Linked DNA regions of Diceros bicornis minor. The protein of the gene in region 2 binds, or shares a complex with, the protein of the main gene of each other region. Links are inferred from orthologs where the notes say so. Each region holds a gene or a part of one and is shown on either strand. Other genes may lie near its edges.

Evidence for each region.
Region 1: the proteins of CRHR2 (region 2) and GNA11 are in contact, whole or in part, in a cryo-EM structure (PDB 7TRY), measured with the Homo sapiens proteins. The link is inferred for Diceros bicornis minor from reciprocal best matches to the Homo sapiens genes CRHR2 and GNA11. Residues at the interface, in NP_001874.2 of Homo sapiens: Arg148, Tyr208, Leu209, Ala212, Ile213, Thr216, Glu220, Lys293, Lys307, Ala311, Phe358, Tyr359, Phe362, Asn363; in NP_002058.2 of Homo sapiens: Arg37, Ile348, Leu349, Asn352, Leu353, Glu355, Tyr356, Asn357, Leu358.
Region 3: the proteins of CRHR2 (region 2) and UCN are in contact, whole or in part, in a cryo-EM structure (PDB 7TS0), measured with the Homo sapiens proteins. The link is inferred for Diceros bicornis minor from reciprocal best matches to the Homo sapiens genes CRHR2 and UCN. Residues at the interface, in NP_001874.2 of Homo sapiens: Phe68, Asn69, Gly70, Val71, Tyr73, Ile101, Leu102, Asp103, Asp104, Arg107, Asp110, Tyr113, Leu117, Asn120, Trp166, Leu169, Gln170, Val172, Asp173, His174, His177, Glu178, Thr188, Phe191, Asn192, Phe199, Phe256, Gly257, Lys258, Asp265; in NP_003344.1 of Homo sapiens: Asn84, Pro85, Ser86, Leu87, Ser88, Ile89, Asp90, Leu91, Thr92, Phe93, His94, Leu95, Leu96, Arg97, Thr98, Leu99, Leu100, Leu102, Arg104, Thr105, Ser107, Gln108, Arg111, Ala112, Asn115, Phe119.

What each region holds. Positions count from the first base shown.
Region 1 is NW_026691553.1:2,409,658-2,417,203, forward strand, and holds the start of GNA11 (guanine nucleotide-binding protein subunit alpha-11), read left to right. Parts: upstream 1-4,505; 5' UTR 4,506-4,527; coding exon 4,528-4,663; intron 4,664-7,546. UniProt on the Homo sapiens protein: Guanine nucleotide-binding proteins (G proteins) function as transducers downstream of G protein-coupled receptors (GPCRs) in numerous signaling cascades.
Region 2 is NC_080742.1:54,986,559-54,994,142, reverse strand, and holds the start of CRHR2 (corticotropin-releasing factor receptor 2), read left to right. Parts: upstream 1-4,558; coding exon 4,559-4,645; intron 4,646-7,584. UniProt on the Homo sapiens protein: G-protein coupled receptor for CRH (corticotropin-releasing factor), UCN (urocortin), UCN2 and UCN3. Has high affinity for UCN.
Region 3 is NC_080751.1:55,532,381-55,537,304, reverse strand, and holds UCN (urocortin), read right to left. Parts: upstream 985-4,924; 5' UTR 919-984; coding exon 538-918; downstream 1-537. Other genes in the region: protein Mpv17, read right to left, coding at 4,185-4,409, 4,657-4,752, 4,847-4,924. UniProt on the Homo sapiens protein: Acts in vitro to stimulate the secretion of adrenocorticotropic hormone (ACTH). Binds with high affinity to CRF receptor types 1, 2-alpha, and 2-beta. Plays a role in the establishment of normal hearing thresholds.

The DNA.
Region 1 (7,546 bases), on a different chromosome or scaffold from region 2:
ACATACAGCAACTAGAAGGATGTGCAGCTGTGACACACAACTATCTACTGGGGCTTTGGGGGAAAAAGTAAATACATAAAATTATTAAAAAAAAAAAAAAGAAACAAATAAATACCCTCCTAAGGCAGGAGAAGGCTGCGAGCCCCATCCCCGGTTTCTCGGTTTCTCCGATGCTGGGTGTCCGGGGGCATCGATGGTTTCCGGGGGCAGACGGGAGCGCCCCGCTGTCAGCCCCGAGGCCGGGGAAGGGCAGGGACGTGAGAGATCCCGCGGAATCTGTCCCCTGCAGCCCGCCGGCCCCGCCTGGGCCTCACTCACCTTTGCTCTCTGCTCTGCGCTGGGATGCAGCCTTGTCCCCGGCCCCGGACCCTCATAAAGTGCAACTCCTCCAGGCTGGAGGCCACTTCCCAGGACGCAGGAGGGGAGGCTGCGGGCAGGGCGGGTGGGGCCTCGGGGCCATCGAGGTGACGCAGCCGGACTTTGTCTCTCTGGGCCTCCGGGAGGGGAAGCCAAGTCAGCGATTAGCGAATGCCTGGGCCCTGAGGCCACTTCACCATCTCCCTGTGGGCCTCAGTTTCCCCTCTTCCTCATCGGGGGCCTTCCCGGTGTCCGTCCAGCTCCTGGCACAGAGTAGGCACTTAGTGAACGCACGAGGACGATGGCACCCCCTGTTATTCTGCTCCCCGCTGTTCCCCTCCCTTCCTCCTCCCAACGCCCAGGGGCCCAGGGCAGAGCTGCGGCCAGGAGGGGGTGTCATGGGTGACATTTGATAAATACCTAGGGAACTCACGAACCCACCACCCCTTCTCCCATCTTATTCGTTTCTCCGCCCTGGGCTGCACTCCCACCCTGCCTGCCTCTGCTTCGGCGTCCTTTGAAACATTTAAGCATTTATTAAGCACCTACTGTGTACTTTATAAGTACCACCTCCTTGAACATTTCTTTTTTTTTTTAAAGCTTTCTCAAGGTATAATTGACACGCAATGAACTACACACGTTTAAAATGTACAATTTGGTGAGTTTTGTCCTATGTCTGCCCCCGAGCAATCACTGGCACAATCAAAAGTTTCCTTGTTCCTCTCCCCACCCCCACCCCCATCCCCAGGCGACCAGCAAGCTACTTTCGGTCACCATGGATTTCCACGGTTGGCATTTTCCAGAATGTTCTACAAATGGAATCACAGAGCACATCCTCCTTTCACTCAGCACAAGTCATCTAAGGCTCATTCATGTTGGTGTGTGTTTTTCCTTTTTCATGGCTGAGTAATATTCCAGCATAGGGATGGACCACAATTTGCTCATCCGCTCGCCGGTTGGTGGACGTTTCCAGTTTGGGAGGTTACAAATAAAGCCTCTGTGGACATTTGCGCACAGGTCTTGTGTGACATCACTCCCATTTTTCTCGGCGGCATGTATTTGTGATCGATTTCTGCGTAACAAATCGCCCCCCAACTTGATGCCTTAAAACAATAAACATTCGTTCTCTCACGCAGTTTCCGAGGGTTGGGAATTTGGGAGCAACGTAACCAAGTGGTTCTGGCTCGGGGTCTCAGATGAGGTCGCGGTCCAGCTGTCCGCGGGGGCTGCCTCATCTGAAAGCTCGACTGGGGACGGAGGAACTGCTTCCAAGCTGGCTCCCTTGAGTGGCTGTTGGCGGGAGGCCTCGGGGCTCCTCCAGCGGGATAGCCTAGACTCCTTTCCAGAGCGGCTGGGCTCTAGGAGCGAGTGAGACGGAGTCCAAGATGGGAGCCCAAGACACCTTATAACCCAGCCTCTGAAGCCACATCGTCATATTCTATTTGTTAGAAGCAGATCACTAAATTCAACCCACACCCTAGGCAGGGGGTGAATTACACAAGGCCATGGATACCAGAGAGCGGGGCTTGCTGGGGGCCGTCCTGGAGGTTATCTACCACCATCCCCTTGTGTTTAAATATTTAAGCAAACATTAGGCTTCTACTGTGTACATCACAAGAACCTTCTTCTTGGCGATTTACAACAGCTCAAGGTAAAAGAACTGATATGATATTCCCCACTTTACAGATGGGGAAACAGGCCCGGGAAAGTTAAGTCGCCCGCCCACAGTCCACGCCAGAGCAAGCAGCAGAAAGGAGATTCCGTCCTGAGGGTTAAGTCCTGTGCAAGGAGGTGGTGACGGCGTCACGGGACAGGAGCAGAGAAGGGAAGGAAGTACAGTGAGGTTTTTACCTCCAGAAAAAGAGCCCGGTTCCTTCATTGATTTCACAAACACTCATTGAGCACCTGCTGTATGCCAGGTGCTGGTTTAGGTCCCGGAGACAGCGCAGAAGACGAGACGGACGGAGTTCCCCCCACACGTGGCCCTCACACACACGAAAGAACGATTCCACTCGTCACCCTCTGGTGTGGCACCTGGCACGCAGGAGCATTGCCGGAGGAGGGAAGAGGCCCAAGGCTCCCTGCTGGACGTGGGAGACCCCTCGGTGACCGAGACACGCACGGTCACTGCCCACAGTCTGCTGGTTGATATGGACCGCAAACAACATTTGCAACAACAAATCCACCCTTTCCTTCAAGATTTATTGAGCGCCCAGTGTGTACAGGCCCGGTTCTAGATACGGCAGTGATCAAGACAGACAAAGACACCTTATATTACGGGTAAATGAGTAAAGAGATACATAAAGAAGATGATTTCCAGCCCTGGAAAGGGCCGTGGGGGAAGTCCAGCCGGTGGTGACAGGGTGGGGGCGCTGGCCTGACCCTCCCCCTGGGGAGGGGACGTTTGAGCCGGGGCCCGAGTGACAGTGGTTCTGTTCGGTCTCCCTGGCTGTGGGTTCTTTGCACAATGGGCTTCTGTCTGTTCATGGGGGAGCCCAGGATCCCCGGCTGCGCCACCCGCCGAGGTGAGCACGGAAGTCCCCAGGTGACAGGTCCAAGGAGCCAACCTCCCCACATTTGCCATCAGCCAATAAACGCAGACTTTGACCCCCTCGCCCCGTATCTCGAGACAGGAGGCTGTGGCGTGTCAAGGTGCAGGGACGGGACCTGGGCAGGGCCGGGTGGGGAGGGGAGGTGGGGGTCCCGCCGGGTCGCGGCTGGGAGAGGCGCCGCAGAGGGGGACTCGGTTTCCTCCTCCGTGGAATGGGTTTCCGGCACCAGGAACACTCCAAACTCTTTTATTCTTTTTCCATCATTCCAAATGCATTGATTGAGCACCTCCTGTGTGTCTGGGCCTCGTTCTAGGTCTTTCTATGAGAGGCCAGATAGTATATTGTAGGGTAGTCCACAGCCACTCCGCTCTGCCCTTGCCAGGTGAAAGCAGCTAAGCTCCACACGGAAATGAATGGGCATGGCTACGTTCCGGTAAAATTAATCGAGTAGGAGGGTTGGTTTAAAGGGCCGAAAGCAGTGCTTTGTATACAGTAGGCTCTTCATTAATGCTTGCTCTCTGCCTGGCCTATAGCAGGAACTGCTCTAATGCCTGTGTCCGTGCCTGGTTTACAGTAGGCACTCCATAATGCTTTTGCCCTGTCTGATACACGGCAGGCGTTGCATTAATGCTTGGTCCGTGCCTAGTATACAGCAGGTGCTGCATTAACGCTTTAGCCCTGTCTGGTATATAACAAGCCTTACGTTAATGCTTGTTCTCTGCCTGGAATACAGCAGGCGCCGCAGTAATGCCTGGCCCATGCCTCGTTTACAGTAGGCATTCTACTAATGTTTGCTTCCTGCCTGGTATACAGCGGGCGCTGCATTAATGTTTCGTCCATGCCTGTTATACAGTAGGTACTGCCTTAAAGGCTGGCCCATGCCTGGTATGCAGGAGGCATTCCATTAATGCTTGCTCAATACGTGGCACATAGCAGGCGCTGCATTAATCCCGGCCCGGGCCTGGTATACAGGAGGCCTTCCATTAATGCTTGTTCCAAGAACGGACAAGGGGAAGGCTCGTTTCCGGCCGGGAGACCGTGAGGGCTGGTCCCCCAGTGTCCCGCGTGGGAACGGGGTCCCCCAGCCCCGCGACCGCCGCGCCGGGTCCGCGCCTCTCGCTCCCGGGCCGAGCGGAGCCGAGCGCAGCCGAGCCGGCCGGCCGAGTCCGCCACATTCCCACAATCCCGGGCGGCCCCGCCCGGCTCCGGGCCGCGCGTCCCCCTGCCCACGTCGGCGCAACCTAACCCGCGGGCGCGCCCGCTCGCCCCGCCCCGCCCCGCCCGCCGACGCCCCGCCCACCCACCGCTGGTCCCGCCCCCGCGGCGGCGCGCGCGCCACCGCCCCCTCCCATTGGCCGCGCCGCCCGCCCGTCGGCGCCGTCCGCGCGCGGGTTAGGTTGTGCGGCGGTGTCGCTCGGTCGCGGCGGCTGCGGTTGGCAGCGGTGGCGGCGGCGGCGGCGCGGTCGGAGGGCGGCAGGGCGGAGAGCGCGCGGAGCGGACCGGCGCTCGCAGGCGGCCGAGCGCACCGGCCGGCCCGGGGGCCGAGCGCCGAGGCCAGGCGGGCGGCGGGCAGGGCGGGCGGCGGGCGGGGGGCGGCCGGGCGGCCGGGGCCGGGACGATGACTCTGGAGTCCATGATGGCGTGTTGCCTGAGCGACGAGGTGAAGGAGTCCAAGCGCATCAACGCCGAGATCGAGAAGCAGCTGCGGCGGGACAAGCGCGACGCCCGGCGCGAGCTCAAGCTGCTGCTGCTCGGTGAGTGGCCGGGCCTGCGGGCGGCGGGCTCGGGGCCGGTCCCCGCCCGGGCTGGACACGGGGCGCCGATCTCTGTGCTGGACACGGGGCGCCGATCCCTGTCTGTGCTGGACACGGGGGGCCGGTCCTCGCCCGGGCTGGACACGGGGCGCCGATCCCTGTCTGTGCTGGACACGGGGGGCCGGTCCTCGCCCGGGCTGGACACGGGGCGCCGATCCCTGTCTGTGCTGGACACGGGGGGCTGGTCCCCGCCCGGGCTGGACACGGGGGGCCGATCCCCGTCTGTGCTGGACACGGGGGGCCGGTCCCCGCCCGGGCTGGACACGGGGCGCCGATCTCTGTCTGTGCTGGACACGGGGCGCCGATCCCTGTCTGTGCTGGACACGGGGGGCCGGTCCCTGTCTGTGCTGGACACGGGGGGCCGGTCCTCGCCCGGGCTGGACACGGGGCGCCGATCCCTGTCTGTGCTGGACACAGGGGGCCGGTCCCCGCCCGGGCTGGACACGGGGGGCCGATCCCCGTCTGTGCTGGACACGGCCCCCCCGTCTGTGCTGGACACGGGGGGGCCGGTCCCCGTCTGGGCTGGACACGGGGGGCCGGTCCCCGCCCGGGCTGGACACGGGGGGCCGGTCCCTGCCTGGGCTGGACACGGGGGGGCGGATCCTCACCCGTGCTGGACGTGGTCTGTGCCTGTGCTGGACACTGAGGGGCCCCCCCATCCCTGCCCGTGCTGTCCACGGTGGGCCTCGGGGCCTTGCAGTCAGTCCTGAGCCGTGCTGTCCACCGCAGCCCGACCCCGCCTGTGCTGTCCACAGCCTGTGCCTGAGCTGTCTAGAGCGGGCCCTGGGCCTCAGGGTCGGCCCCTGCCTGTGCTGTCCACAGCAGGCCCTAGGTTCCTTCAGGTCAGCCCTGCCTCTGCTGTGCACGTTGGTGCCCCGGACCCTTGGGGTCAGCCTGTGCCTGTGCTGTCTGCAGCAGGGCCACAATCCCTGCAGGGTCAGGCCTGCCTCTGTTGACTATGTCGGGCCCCATGTTTCTTCAGGGCCAGCCCCAGCCTCTGCTGTCCAGGCGGGGCCCCCAGAACCCGCCAGGGTCAGTTCCTGCCTCTGCTGCCTGGTGTCTGATCCCTGCAGGGCCAGCTCCTGCTTCTGTCTGGGTCAGGCCCCCAGAACCCTGGAGGGTCTGCCTGCTGCCCTTCTCATGGTGCGACCCCCTCCCCACACAGGGCTGGCCCCCTGTCCCCGCCCCACTGAGTGTCCCCCCTCGCTGCCTGCAGCATCAGCCTAGGGCCAGACCTTTGGGCTGTAATCCACAAGACGCGCCCCTCGCCTCCCGGGCTCCCGTCTCGGCTCTTCCCACCAGGTGGAGCCCTATGCCCTGCACGCCGGGCCTGGCCCCCTCCAGCCCGTTCCCTCAGGCCGCTCCCCTGCCTCCCTCCCCCTGTCCTCCCAAGTGGGGTGGAGTGGGGTACACCCTACACCCGTGGGGGAGAAGACAACCTTTCGTCTCGGGTTTCTGTTGTAGCCAGAGGCCGGGGCGGGTGGACCCTGGAGGGGCCTTCACCGGCGTTCAGCACTTTCCTCATCCCCTTTCCCACGTCTGGGTGGGAGCTGGATCTCCGGCTCCCCCTCCCTCTCCCGGAGAAGATCCCTGTCCGCGTCTGCATCTCCCCAGGCACACCTGTTGCTGTTGCAGGCAGCGAGGCGGCCCAGCTGTGGGCACAGTGTTGTCACCCCAAATAAGGGCTGCTGAAGGACTCAGCTCTGCTGTCAAAGGCATGAAGGTCGTTTACAAAACAGCAACCCTCGCGGCCCTTCCTGAGCTCCGCCGGTCCTGGGCTGCGGGGAAGGGAGAGAATGCTCGCTCCCCGCTCAGGGATAGCTCCCGTGGGCCCTGGGGCCCAATGGGAGGGGGCTGTCACGGAGGGCGCACCCCAAGAACAGCGCAGGGTTTAGGGGCGCCGAGCCTGATGGCTGAGGGGCGTTGGCTCTTTTGGGGGGTGGCAGGCATGCATTGCTTCTCCCGCCTGCAGGGACCCACCCCCCGGACCCCCACTTTGATGAAACACCTTCCCCGTTTTTTTTTTCTTTTTCAAACATATGTTCCGATTTATCTAAATGCCCTATAACAGGCCACCTTTCCGGGAAAGACAGGCAGGGAGTAACCGTAATGCTTGGAGGGAACTTGCGGCGGGCTCCAAGTGGCGCTCTGGCGGACAGGGTGGCACTGCTGGCTTTGGCAGCGCGAGCAGACTTTATTTTGGGAGGGGGATTTAGACATCTCCAGCATCTTGGTGATGTTACCAGACAGCCTTGCCTGGGGGCTCTGTGAGCCCCCAGACGGCCCCACTGCCTGTCCTGAGGGTACCCAGGCTGCAGATGGTCGTGGGGTTCAAGAACACAGGTCACCGGCTCGGCTGCAGGAGCCCCAGTGTCTGCAGTCCCCCCACCCCGCCGTGGGACCCCAGAGAACACCCAGCCCTCCCCCCACCGGCCTGCACGACAGGGCATCGTGCACCTGTCTCGGGACGCCGAGTCCTGGGCACAGGGGGCCAGAGAGAAAGAGGATGATGGGAGCTCATGGGGCCAAGGTGAAGGTTTATGACGAGGAGGACCAGCTGTAAATGCCGGGCCGAGGTCCAGGGCCGTGCTGTGGGCTGTGGAGCCGCATCCCTGGCCCCACCCACTCGATGCCAGGAGCACCCCCAGTGTGGCAACCACAATGTCCCTAGACGTGGCCCAGTGTCCCCTGGGGGCGGGATCACCCCTGTTTGAGAGCCCCTCATGGTAGCACACAAGATCAGCGTGTGTCACAGAGCTGGAGTGTAATCAGCGTCAATGGTTTTGTCACGTGTTTGGTGAATGTTTAAAAGGCGAATAGTTT
Region 2 (7,584 bases):
GCAACGCAAGTGTCCTTAAGAACCTCAGTCCTCCAAAGTCACCCTTTCCTTTCATAGACACATACAGTGACCCAATCGCCCCGAGCCCATTAGATTTACAGAAAAGTCTGGGCTCTCCCCAACAGTTCTAGACCCCAAACACGGGGATGGAGTGTCTTCCATTTTCCTAGTCACCTTTTATGATGAATTCTACTCCTGTTCAATTCCTGATCCCTTCTATGTTGGTTAGAATTCCTAAGGTAGTGAGAAACAGAAACACACTTCAAACTAGTTCGGGCATCAGGGAAGATTCATTGGAGAACTCCCTAACCAGGGGCAGAGGCAAAGCGTGCTTCTGGCTGGCCTGGAACCAGAGCCTCAGAGGTCTCTCTTCTCTGCTCCCCTCTGGAGCGTGGAAGCTCATTCCTCCAGCTTGGCTTTTTCCAAACAGCAGCCAACAGCCACGCAGCTGCTGCACTTGGCATCTCTCAGTTTCTCCAAGAGAGAGGAATGGTCTCTCTCTTTGATGCAAAGTTTTAAAATCCTAGGGAGGGACTCTGATTGAGTTGGTTCAGATCAGCTGTCCCTTCCTGTACCAACCAACTGTAGTCATCGCGTGCGGCCCTCTCCTTTGTCCGGCCTGGTGGATGGCATTGGGCCAATCCACAGTGACCCGCTGCCAATCAAATCACATGGTTGGAGTACAGCAGGCACGCTCAAGGAGGGGAATAATGCCCCCAAGGAGGCACAAAGCAGTTCTGGGAGGGCAGAACAATCTTAGATCTTACAGTGGTTTGTGGTCCTCCAAAGAACCACAGTACATAACCAGATATACAGTATGTCTGTGGGATTACAATTTCATAGCGGGGAGGGCAATTAGGAAAGAAATTAAAAAGCCTCCTTCAGGAGGGTGCTGATAATGAAAAAAAATGTTGAGAAACACTGGAGTAGAGGAGGGAGCATCTCTCAGAAGGACAGGACCATTCTGGACAAAACAAAGAAATGTCCAGTACATCCTCCCACCTCCTGCAGCTGCTGACTCCTCTCCAGCCCTCGATCCGTACGCGGGTGCAGCACCTCCTCCTCATTCCCCAAGCACATGACGCAGGCTGTCCTGTACTGTGGCCTCGTGCTGAAGATGGAGGAGAGTGGAGGATAATCACAGCCCGGTTGCTAACGTTCACTGACCATTCACACCTCAGGGAAGCCCTTCCAGCCCATCCTTCCTCAGACCTGGCCTGCCCTGCAGTCCTTGCCCCCTCTTTTCCCTCTAAGTCCCTGGGACAACCCTCAGCCCAGATCCTAGCCCTTCTACCCCTTTGCCATCTTGCGTGCCAAGCCAGATCTAGGAATTTCCACACTGTACAAAGCAAATCACCCACCTCCCTGGTAGACCACCCTGTGTTGGTCTTTCATAACCAATAAGGGTCATGAAGGCATTTCAAAAATAAAAAGGCTCCTCTGCCTTGGAGTCTGCCCTTAGGCACACAAAGCTGATAAATGACAATTTTTATTTTTTTTTGAGGAAGATTGGTCCTGAGCTACCATCTGTCGCCAATCTTCCCGCTTTTTTCCTTTTTTATTTAATCCCCAAAGTCCCAGTAGATAGTTGTATGTCATAGTTGTACATCCTTCTAGCTGCTCTATGTGGGACACCGCCTCAGCATGGCTTGATGAGCGGTACGTAGGTCTGCGCCCAGGATCCGAACTGGCGAACCCCGGGCCGCCGAAGCAGAGTACGCAAACGTAACCGCAATGTCACCGGGCAGGCTCTGGAACGACAATTTTAATTAGCCTGCCCAGATCACAGTTGTAGGCAGGGTTTCTTCCAACATCAGCAGCCCCTGAAAGCTGAGAAGGGCTGTCCAGAGGACATCCCAGAGGCTCAAGGGTTGTGTATGTTTTTTACTGTTGTTGTTGTTTGTTTTGAACCTATTGCATTTAGAGGGGTTAAGTCCAGACTTCCCTGACTTTCCAGGCTCCCCTAGGTCAGGTTTTTCAGGATGAGATGAGGATTCGCCTGCTGCGATTTGTGAAGGAAATGTTCCCAGGAGAGACTGGTAAGAGAGGGGGCAAACCAGGACAGAAAAAGAAGTCCGGCAGCAGTGAGATATGCCAAGCTAAGTCCTAGCCTCCCCTGACCTTGCAGGGCCCCCGGGTGTTAATTACACCTGGAGTTCATCCACCTCCAGGCAAAGGAGCACCAGCCAGTCAACGGCTAGGCATGCCTTTGGGGATTGGGGAAACTCCTGGGTACCTGGGGATCCCCTCCTTGGTGCAAAAAGCAATTGTAGTTGTCCAAGGGCAGTCCTCCTAAGAGTGTTCCAGGTCAGGGAGGAGGGGATGGATCTGGAAGCACAGGGAAAGCCCTGCCAGCAAGGAATCCGGCCATCACCACTGTACCTGTTCCGTAGATCTTCCTAGAACTAGATCCCGTCCAGTCTGTCCCCCACTCCTGGCCCTACACTGTCCCAGCCTCAGCCAGACCCCCGGCTGAGCCAGCCTGCACTTGCCCAGCTCCTGCTTCTGCTCACCCTGACTCCTCCATCCAGAGTAAAGGTGTCCCCTTCTCCGCCTGTTTAAATTCTTTATGATGCTCCTGCAGCATTTTTCCCCCAAAAGTCCCCTCCCTCACTGCCCTGAGCTGCCCCAGCATTTGTGCTCCCTCTTACCTCCCATCGCAGTTACTTGTGCCCAGATCTCACGGGCTCCACATACCTTCCCTCTGCTGGCACACTCCCCACAGTCTACGAGGTTGGCCTTGAGGTCCCAGCCTCTGCTCTCTGCTTCAGAGCGTCCATGTGAGGCTGGCCATGGAGACGCTCCAGGAACACATGCTGAAGAGAACTGTTGGACCTCATGCTGACCCATCAACTCTTTCTGAACCTACGCATCCATCAAAGTCTGGCTGAGTGGTCATCTCCCGCCAGGATCCTCTCTGATCAAGTTCCACCCCGTCATCTTCAAATGAATGGGGAGATCTGGTCAACACTTCCTCAGCTTTTCCCATAAAGATTCCCTTGCACCACATATCCCCAGTGGCTCTGTGCAACAGAGAAGGGAGGGGAAAAGATAAAAAGAGGAGGGAGAGACCAGGGCTCTACCTTCAGGAGTGCCTTCCCCCACCAAGCTGTTTGGAGACCACCAGCCTCACCCAAGGGGCAGTTAGAGAACAGTCCACATGGGGGTAGGGGGAGGAGCCAGGGGCTCAGGCTCAAGCCTGTGAGATTTCAGGGGAGGGCGATGTGGGAACAATCAGGAAAGGCTGCTTGGAGGAAGGGGGTGGAGGGGAGGAGGACCTGAGGGACAGAAAAGTGTCCCCGGCAGACAGACTAGAGTGAACACAGTGTCTGAGTTTCTTGAACTCGGGCTGAGTTCTCCGGGGCCTGTACCCACCTTGTCTGCATCCTCCAGGAAAAGCTCAGCGCCCCGCTAATCGCATTCCTCAAATGCTTTCCCCTCAGATCCTAACGACAACGACGCTGGAAATGCTGCGTAAGTTTTTAAACACCCTGCACCAGGCCCACCTGTTGGAATAGTTCCAGAGGCCCCCCCAGAACAGGCCTCACCTCCTGAGCCCTGACCCAGCCCCAGGTTAGACCTTTCCCCACCCAAGATCAACACTGCTCAGCCATGCCTGACATAAAGATCCTTGGGCAAATTTACTGAAACATACTAGTGCCTGGGTCCCACCCCAACCTATGAAACCAGAATCTCTGGGTGGGGTTTGGCACTGCTGCATTTGTTGTCATGGTTGTTTGGGGTTTTTATTTTTAGCATTTTATTTCAAATTTAAAGAAAAGTTGGAAGAATAAGCCAAAGTATACACACATCCCCGTTGCCCAGATTTACAGACTGTTTCTTGCCCCATTTGTTTTATTGTTCTCTCTCTATATGTATATCTGTGTGTATATTTCTGAAGCATTTGAAAATAAGTTACAAACAGGCTGCCTCTTTAGCCCTAAATGTGTATTTCCTAAGAACAGAAACATTCTCTTACCTACCCACAGTGCAGTTATCAAAACTGGGAAATTGAACACTGATACAGTTATTTAATCCGGCATCCACATTCAACTTGCAAGCGTCCCAGTGGGCACTGGTGCCCGGTGAAAGCACCCCAGACAGTCAGAACATGCCTGCAGGGCTGGGACACCTGGTGAGGATGAGACCCACCCAGCCCACCTATGCTCTGGCCACAGCCACAGCGAGACTCCTTGCCCCCTTTCTCCATTCCTCTCTCCTGGCAGTGGGTAGCTACAGCCCTGGCAAAGGTGGTGGCGGATGAAGGCATTAACCCCTTCTCTGCAGGCGGGAGGCAGAGTCTGGCCTCTGGCTGCTGGGGCAGAAGCGGCTGCCCAGCGCCCGCTATAAATAACGTGGAGGGGCGGGCTGTGGGGCGGTGTCACCGCTGCCTTGGGGGAGGGGGCGAGGGAGAGTACCCCCTGTGCCCAGGGCCTTACCTTGGCCTGCTCCGCCGGTGGGGAGGGAGGAGGCCAATGCGGCTGTGGCCCGGGGGAGCGGCGGGCGGGGCAGAACAGCCGCGCTGGGAGGTGTGCTCCGGTCCCTAGCCGCTGCGGGCATGGGGGGTCCCGCGGGGCCCCCGCGCCTCCTCCACACCCCACACCCTCTCCTCTGCCTGCTCTGCCTCCTCCTGCCGCTGCTCGAAGTAAGTGCGGGGAGTGGGGTCGGGTCTCAGGGTGGGGGCGCCGGGAGCTGGAGCTCCGTGCTCTCAGGACTAGGGGCTGGGAGGGAGTCTTGGTGCTCACTTCCTCGGCCTTTTCCCTCAGCCCTGTTATGAGTTGGGTGGGCTTGTGCGCCGGGTTGGGATTGGGGATCCCTGTGCGGATCATGGGATGGAGATCTCCTGCCTGGGGAGGGGGGCAGGTGGAGAGGAGAGGGAACTCGAACACAACTGGGATGGGACAGGGAGGCCCTTGTGGATGAGCAGAGCCTTCTGAGTGACGCCCTAGCATCCATGACACGCCCTTCCTCGGGTCCACAAATTCCCTCTTCCCTGTCCATTCTGTCCCCTCCTTCATGGATCCTTCTCCATATCCCCTGCAGGAGCTTCAAGTCTCTTCCTCACCCCACCCCAGTTCTGGCCCTTCCTCCCAGTGGACCCCCAGAGAGCTGCCCCCCATCCCCTGCACCCTGTCCTCACCCTCTTCTTAGTGTCTCAAACCAGGCAGCCCCAGTACCAAATGAGCAATGGGGCAGAGGGAGCACGGGGGTGGTTTCTCAAAACTGTAGGTGCCCTTTGCCCAGAGTCTGGGTCTGCAGGTGGGGGCTGGAGCAAAGGGATGGAGAGGAGCTATAAGGAAGGAGCTTTTGAAGAAGGGAAGTGAGGCTGAGAGGGAGTGATTTCCAGAAACAGATGCGGGAGGAATCTCCCTCTAACCCTCTCCCCATTTTACAGATGGGGAAACTGAGGCTCAGAGAGAGCAACCTGTCCTAGGCCACACTTTTCATGAAGAGCCACGGCATTAAAAGGGTTCAGAGGGCAAAGAGGGGCCCGGAGACCACACAATGCTGGGGACAGAGCCAGGCTGGAAGTCAGGAGGCCTAGTCCTGTCCCCACTCCAACAAAGACCAGCCTTGGGGCCCGTTTCCTGGGCCTCGATGTCCCCATATGTACACTGAGGACCCATTCATTCAATATTCATTCAAGACAGGTAGCAAGCATCAGCTGACTGTGGCAAAGTGGCTTTTCCGACAGACCTGATTCAAATCCCTGCTTTGCTGCTTAGCGTGTGACCTTGGACACGTTACTCAAATTTTCCGAGCCTCAGTTTCCTCATTTGTAAAATGGGGATGGTGTTGGTGCTTACTGAATAGGGCTGTTGTGAGGAACAGATGAGATATACAAGGAAAGCTCTTAGCACCATGCCCAGCACAGAGCAAGCACTCGGTAAATGCAGCTATGGTTCTGTGCCCGGCACTAGAGATTAAGTGTGACCACACCAGGGGCCCTGCCCTCCCAGGGGGTCTGGTCACGTGGAGGGGAAGGGTGGGCACCATGCTGAGGTGTGGTCAGTGCCCCGATGGTCAGGCGGCCCCTAGACCTGCCAGGCCCTTGTAGTGACATTGCAGACTGTATTTGGGGGGAGGTTGTGCCGTGGATTCACCCCCATCCCCCACCCACCACCCCCAGGTCCTGGGCGTTGAGCTCTTTTTGTCCCCTCCCACTCATTCTCAGGGTGTGTGCCTTCCAAGAGAGCTGGGTGTTAGGTCCCGGGTTGCCCCTCGGCCCTCCCCTCTGGAGGCTATGATGCTGGTTAGACGGAGAGGGCTTCTGGTTGCTCTCCAGAGCAAGGCCAGGCAGAGGGGATCTGTGGCAGGGTACCCTGAGTTCTGGGGACGCAGAACAGGAAACTTCAGAGGCAACAGTCCCTTTAAACTCCCTTTAGAGTCAGCCCAGGCCCTGCCCCTAGCTCCCTCCATGACCCCAGTCTGAGACAAGAGACTAGTTACTCATCATGTAACCAGCTAGAGAGGAACTAATCTGCGGTCTTTCTGGCCCCAAAGCGCAGCCTTCCCTGCTCTGAGCCTTCATGGTAATGGGATTTATTTCTGGGTCCTGGTCCAACTATTCTGAGATTTCTGCTCCAGAGCAGGTGGTGGGGAGGGAAGGTGACCCAGGAGGGGCCTGGCCTCCAGCCCTCTCATTTATTCACTCAGTGCTTAAGGAGGACCGGGCCGTGAGGACACAAGGGTGAAAACACCCACCCGATGGAGTCATAGCCTAGAAGGAGACCCTGGCAGGAAGAAAATAATGGCGAAGAATTAAGTGTGTATTTACAAACTCTGGCCACGGGAACTAAGAAAAAGCGTGTGCAGGTGTGAGAGCCTCTGACAGGCGGGCAGGATGGCAGGGGTGGCCGTGGGGTGGTCGGAGAGGAGGGCTGAGGGGAGAGCAAGCAGCGGGGAAGGCCCCAGAGCCCCGACCCTGAGAAGAGATGGTGTGAGGCTGCAGGGGGCATGGTGGGTCCCCAGTGGGCTCCGATTTCTAGCCCAAGGGCATGGAGGGGAAGGGCCCGACCTGATCTGCAATTGGGGAAGTTCCAGCTGGTGGTTGGGTGAGGAGGACACCCTGCACCTTGTCCCAGCCCACACCGCAAGAGCCCGGAGGAGCCAAGCCTTGACCCTGGTGCTCCCGGGGTGCCCTCTGAGGCCTTTGGGAAGCTGCTTTGGGGGCAGCGCTGTAATCATGCAGCCTGCCCTGGACACCCAGTGCTGTGCTAAGCACTTGACTAAAACATCGGGAAAGTGGATCGGTTACTTACAGATGGAAACAGACGTTCAGTGAGGCTGAGGAATGTGGCTGCTGGATTCCAAAACCCTCCATTCTAACCTTTCGAGCTGCTTGCCTCCTCCTCTGTGAAGATCCCAGGAGTCTACCAGCCCCTTTTGGCTGGGTCCAGCCCCTTGGACCTTTGTGGGGCAGCAAGATACTCCCTGCTGACCCCAGGGTCTCAGGACAGCGATTCTGTGGCCTCCTGCTCCAAGTCTGGGCTTCTGGGCGGGGCCGTCTGTCCTGAGAAGCCTCAGCAAAGAGAGAAATCCCCGCCAGGGCCCGGGGCCCCAGAAGCCTGGAACCTTCCTGAC
Region 3 (4,924 bases), on a different chromosome or scaffold from region 2:
AATGCGTCCCGATCGCAGCTCCTTTCACTGCTCGCTCGCTCAGCCTCTGCTTAGAGGCGACTCCATCACCATCCCGCGCTTCTCCGGATCTGGGACTATTTCGGGGGGCGGAAGTGGAATGAACCCCAGGTGGCCACCTCCTTGATATCAGGCACGGATTCGCAAGCCCAGTGCCAAGGGAAAAGGGTCGGGATGGTGCAGCGGCACCAGGACTTGAGTTCCTGGGGGACTTGAAGACAATGGGGACCACAGGACCCTGGCTGAAAGCCGTTTCGCGGAGCCCTCCTGCAGCACCTGGTTCCCTCCAGCCGGCCTGGGAGGCCCCACTTTCCCACAGGTTCCCACCCTGCCGGGGTTCCCCGCGCCCCCAAAACAGAGGCAAAGGCTCTTCAGCACTTTTATTAAAAACTAGTAAGGCGGAGAGTGCTGAGGGTATCCCTGGGCGGTTCTAGCGCAGCGGGACTGGGTCAGTTCCGGTCACGCACGTCCCGGCCCGGGGGTGGGCAATGGAGGTCGAAGTTTTCGGGGTCCCGCGGATCACTTGCCCACCGAGTCGAATATGATGCGATTCTGCTCGGCGCGCTCTCGCTGGCTCTGCGTCCGCGCCAACTCCAGCAGGGTCCGCAGCAGGTGGAAGGTGAGGTCAATGGACAGCGGAGGGTCGTCCCGTCGCGGCCGCTCGTCCGCGGTCACGGATCCCCATCGGCGAGGCCCCGCGCGGCGCGGGAAGCGCTCCGCCAACAGCAAGAGGAGCGCGCGGGCTCCGCCGCCCTGGTTCCGCCCCCCGGGGCTCCAGCGCAGACTCGGGTCCTGGACCCCGGCCTCCGCCGCCTCCGGGTTCCACTGGCTGCTCCCCGAGCGCAGCTGTGCCAGGAGCAGCAGCGCCGCCAGCAGCGCCGCGCGTCCCTCCCGCCTCATGGTGCCACCGGCCCTGGACACACAGGAGCAGCGCAGGGTGAGCTGCGCCTGGGGCAGTCGCAGGTGCCGCCACTCTCCTTCCGGCGTATGTCCAGCGCCCCCGCCGGGCCCCTGCGGCTGCCTCCCGGTGCCCACCACCTTCCCTCCAGCCCCAGCCGCTGCCCAGTCCTGTGCCACCCTTTCTTCCCTCCCTCCCTCTTGGCGGGTCGCCGTGGGTGAGCTGAGCGCAGGGTCCCGGTGCTAAGGGAGCCCGGGCGGACGCTCCCAGCCACTCACAGGTTACCGGAGAGCGTCTGCATGGTGCAGGACGGAGCTCCAGTCTCGTCCCTCGGGGCGGGCTGAAGGCGCCTTGGGGAACACGGGGTCTGTCCCGGGACCGCCGCCAGCCTTATATAGCGCCAGGACAGCTCAGACTGACGTCAGCGAGGAACATGTACTGATTGTAGAGCAATGACGGCCGCAGCTTCCAGTCCAGCCAGTTGCAAGACCCCAAGGGGCACGCCACGGGACACGAGACTTCCCGTCTCCGGGGCTAGGGCTGGAAGCAACACCGGACTCAAGAGGGCGAGAAGCTGGCTGGAGCGTAAAGATTGCTCTGGGAGCCACAAGAGTCCTTCACCCGCTTATAACAGCCAGCAGTGACTAGGGGCCGGTCCCCAGACTAGACTAGTCTGGATCTCCAGTCTTCTCTGGTACAAGAAAGGGAGGCTGACCCGCGGGGCTGTCCGTGGTGCTGACGGTGAAGGTGTCCTCTGCTTCTAGAAGGGGCCAGAGGCACTGGGAGAACGCTGTGCTGCTCAGACCCAGTCCCTTGTCCCAGCTATCAGTTCTGTAAACTGAGACAATCAGGAGCACACAGCTGGCACTCATCTACCACATGGTACCCCCCAAGACGCAGCTGAGGCAGCCTGAGTCTGCCAGGATTCTTGATCTTATTCCAGCGCCAGGATTTAAATTCTCGGGCTGTCTGACTGAGGCACCATAAAAAGAGGCCTCAGGGTGCTTTCCGACCACAAAAGGCTGGATCATCTGCTTCTCAGTTTGTCCCAAAGTGGTAGTTTAGCCAAGTTAATTTTTCTCCTGGGAATCACAGCAGCAGCATTACTGTATCTTTGACCTCCAGGTTAAGATCACTGGGTAGGACGTAAGGAAACCTGGTGTCTTAGTCCATTCGAGATGCTCTAACACCATAAACTGGGAGACTTATAAACAACAGACATTTATTTCTTACAGTTCTGGAGGCTGGGAAGTCCAAGATCATGGTACAGGTAGTTTCAGTGTCTGGTGAGGACCTGCCTTCTGGTTCATAGATGGCACCTACTTGCTGTGTCCACACATAGCCTTTTTTACAAGGGTATTAATCACCTCCCAAAGGCCCACCTCCTAATACCATCACCTTGGTCATTAAGTTTTCACTATATGAATTTGGGGGGTATTCAAACATTCACTCTATAGCACATAGGTTCAAGTTTCTAATCTGCCAGTAACTCGTGGTGTGGATAGGCACCTCATTTCTATGGACCTCAATGTCCTCATCTGTAAAAGAATATTAAGTTTGGTAGTCTCTAGGCTTCTTTCTAGCTCTAGAAATTTTGACTCCCCAGTAGTTTTCTGTTAGTCTTGCTCATTGCCTCTGCAGGTTCCAGGTTACATATTTAATGACATATTTACAGTGGTACCATATAAAGAGTTTGAGAGGGTCCCCAAAGAACTGGAGCTACACTAGGGATGGGAAGGGTTAGAGAAACAGATGTGTCTATGAAGAGTGGGGATGAGTGGCATTTGTCAGGATATGGGTGTAAACTAAACTTGACAAGATCATATGGTTCAACAAATATTTATGGATGTGGTGGGTATAAGACTATTATAAAGGTTTTAGTGATTTCAAAAGGAGTCAGTTTACATTTTAGAGTGAAATGGGCCACTTAATAGCGCTAACCCCATTAAGTTCTGACTAGCAAATTAACCCTGTGAAAATGATGTGCCCTCTTTGAGGAGGTTGTCTGACCATTCTCGAGTCAAGCTGCGTCACTGCAAGGCGGAAACAATGGAGAGAGGCAGACTTAGAGCCGGTGTGCCTTCCAGGACAGGTAGGAGTTCCAGATAACAGCAACACACTGGACAACAGCCAACCTAAGGAACAGGAATGGCATTGTGGAGAAGAGGAAGAATGAAGAGCAAGCAAGGGGGAAGAGATGGGAAAGTGCAATGGAAAAGGAGAGATTATCTCCGAGAATGCCGAGATTTAGGTCTCCCTCCTTCAGCCCCCTATAGAAGGACGTATGGCTCAGACCAGAGGACAACCAGCTCAGGTTCTGGTGCTGTCCCAGAGCGGTCTCCTGGACAAGAGCCTCAAAGTTAAATACCCTCAGTAGCCACCTTGCCACATGGCCGTTATCCATACCCCTGTCCGGGCTCCTTCTAAATACACGTATCTGTCTGTCTTGTACCAGCTGAGGAGATATCATCTTCCAAAAATGTACTATCTGCCACGCAAAGTAGCACCTCCTTCTCTTTATTTTAAATTTTCCTTGCTTTAGTTTCAAAAAAGTTGCAAGGACCTTAATGTTTAAGATTTTTGGTTCATAAATCTAGATTCCTTATAGCTATGCTATTCATGTAAATTTTGACCACATCCCCTCTGAAGAGTTTCATATTTTTCCCTGTTCTCAAAGCCCTCCTCACCTCCAATAATTTTAACTACTCATCCTGAATTCCACTATATTTTTATTGTGGTTTCAGCAATTAGTTTTATTATTAGGGTAAAATAATACTTTGCAGTGGAGTAACCTGACGAGGTTCCTACTTGGCTCTTTGGTCTATCTTTCCGTCTAACCTAGGCCATAGCACCCCAGGCACTGTCCCTACAGCAAAGGTAGAGAGCTCAGGTGGGATGGAGACCAGGGTTGTGGAGCAGGATCCTCCCTAGGAAGATGAAGGTCAGTGGGCAGACACTCTGTGACAGGTTCTGTAATGGGTAAGAAGTTCTGAATAAAATGCTAGAGTCTGAGGAGCTCTGATCAGGACAGACTGTTCTATGGGGTCTAAAGAAGTTCAAGGTTGAAATGAATATCACTTCATCTACAACTGTTCATAATGCAGATCTTCCTTGAAGGGTGGGGTAGGGATCTGTCATACCTGTAATGAAGGGGGACCAGGTAGAAGTTGGCTAACTGCACAGCAGGCCAGAGCTACAAGAGAGAGAATGTAAATGTTGGGGGGCTGACTCCATCACCTGATCCCCAGACTCACTGCCTGGTCTAGTCTTATTCCAACTTCTGCAGACAAGAACAAATTGAACAACTGGGTGAGCGCTTCCCTGAGGATGTTCCCACACTGGGAATGAGGGAACAACTGAGGGATGTCTCAGGGACTTCTCTGTCAGGAGGACCCCAATCCCTGGGCACTTCTGGACTCAAGAAAGCAGGAAAACAGGCAGTTGAGGTGTCAGCTCTTACATAGTAGTTGGTGATGAGGGCGTCAGGGTAATCCTGAGGAGACAGAGAAGGAACAAGTTAACACTTCCATTTCCAAGCAGCTCCCACCTCCCAGTCTGAATATCACACACAGACTTCTGTTCAAAGAACACGCTCCTGCACCACACCCCCCTCAGCTCCTCTCCTCCAGAGCCTGAGATCCAGCTGCGCTTCACCTTTCTCATTCCCCGGAAGCCTGCCTCATTCCCCTGGGTCTGCCAGTCTGCAAGCCAGAGATCTTCCCCACATCTGCCCAGCTCACCCGCTGGAGTTTGGCCCAATTGTCCTGGGCTGACAATCCATTGAATGTTCCTACCAGTGGGAGGAAACAGCCTAGAAAACACGGGGCAAAGCCCCCCTAGGGAAGAGAAATGAAAGCGCTGTGAGTACCTAACCCTCGACCCACCCCCAGCACAGTTCACCCTTCTCAACTCCCTTTCCCTTCTGCTCACCTGATCCAACAGCATCTTCTTTAGTGCATCCACTTTGGTGGTGCCCGGGATGAGCCGGTCCAAAAGCCTGTACCAGCC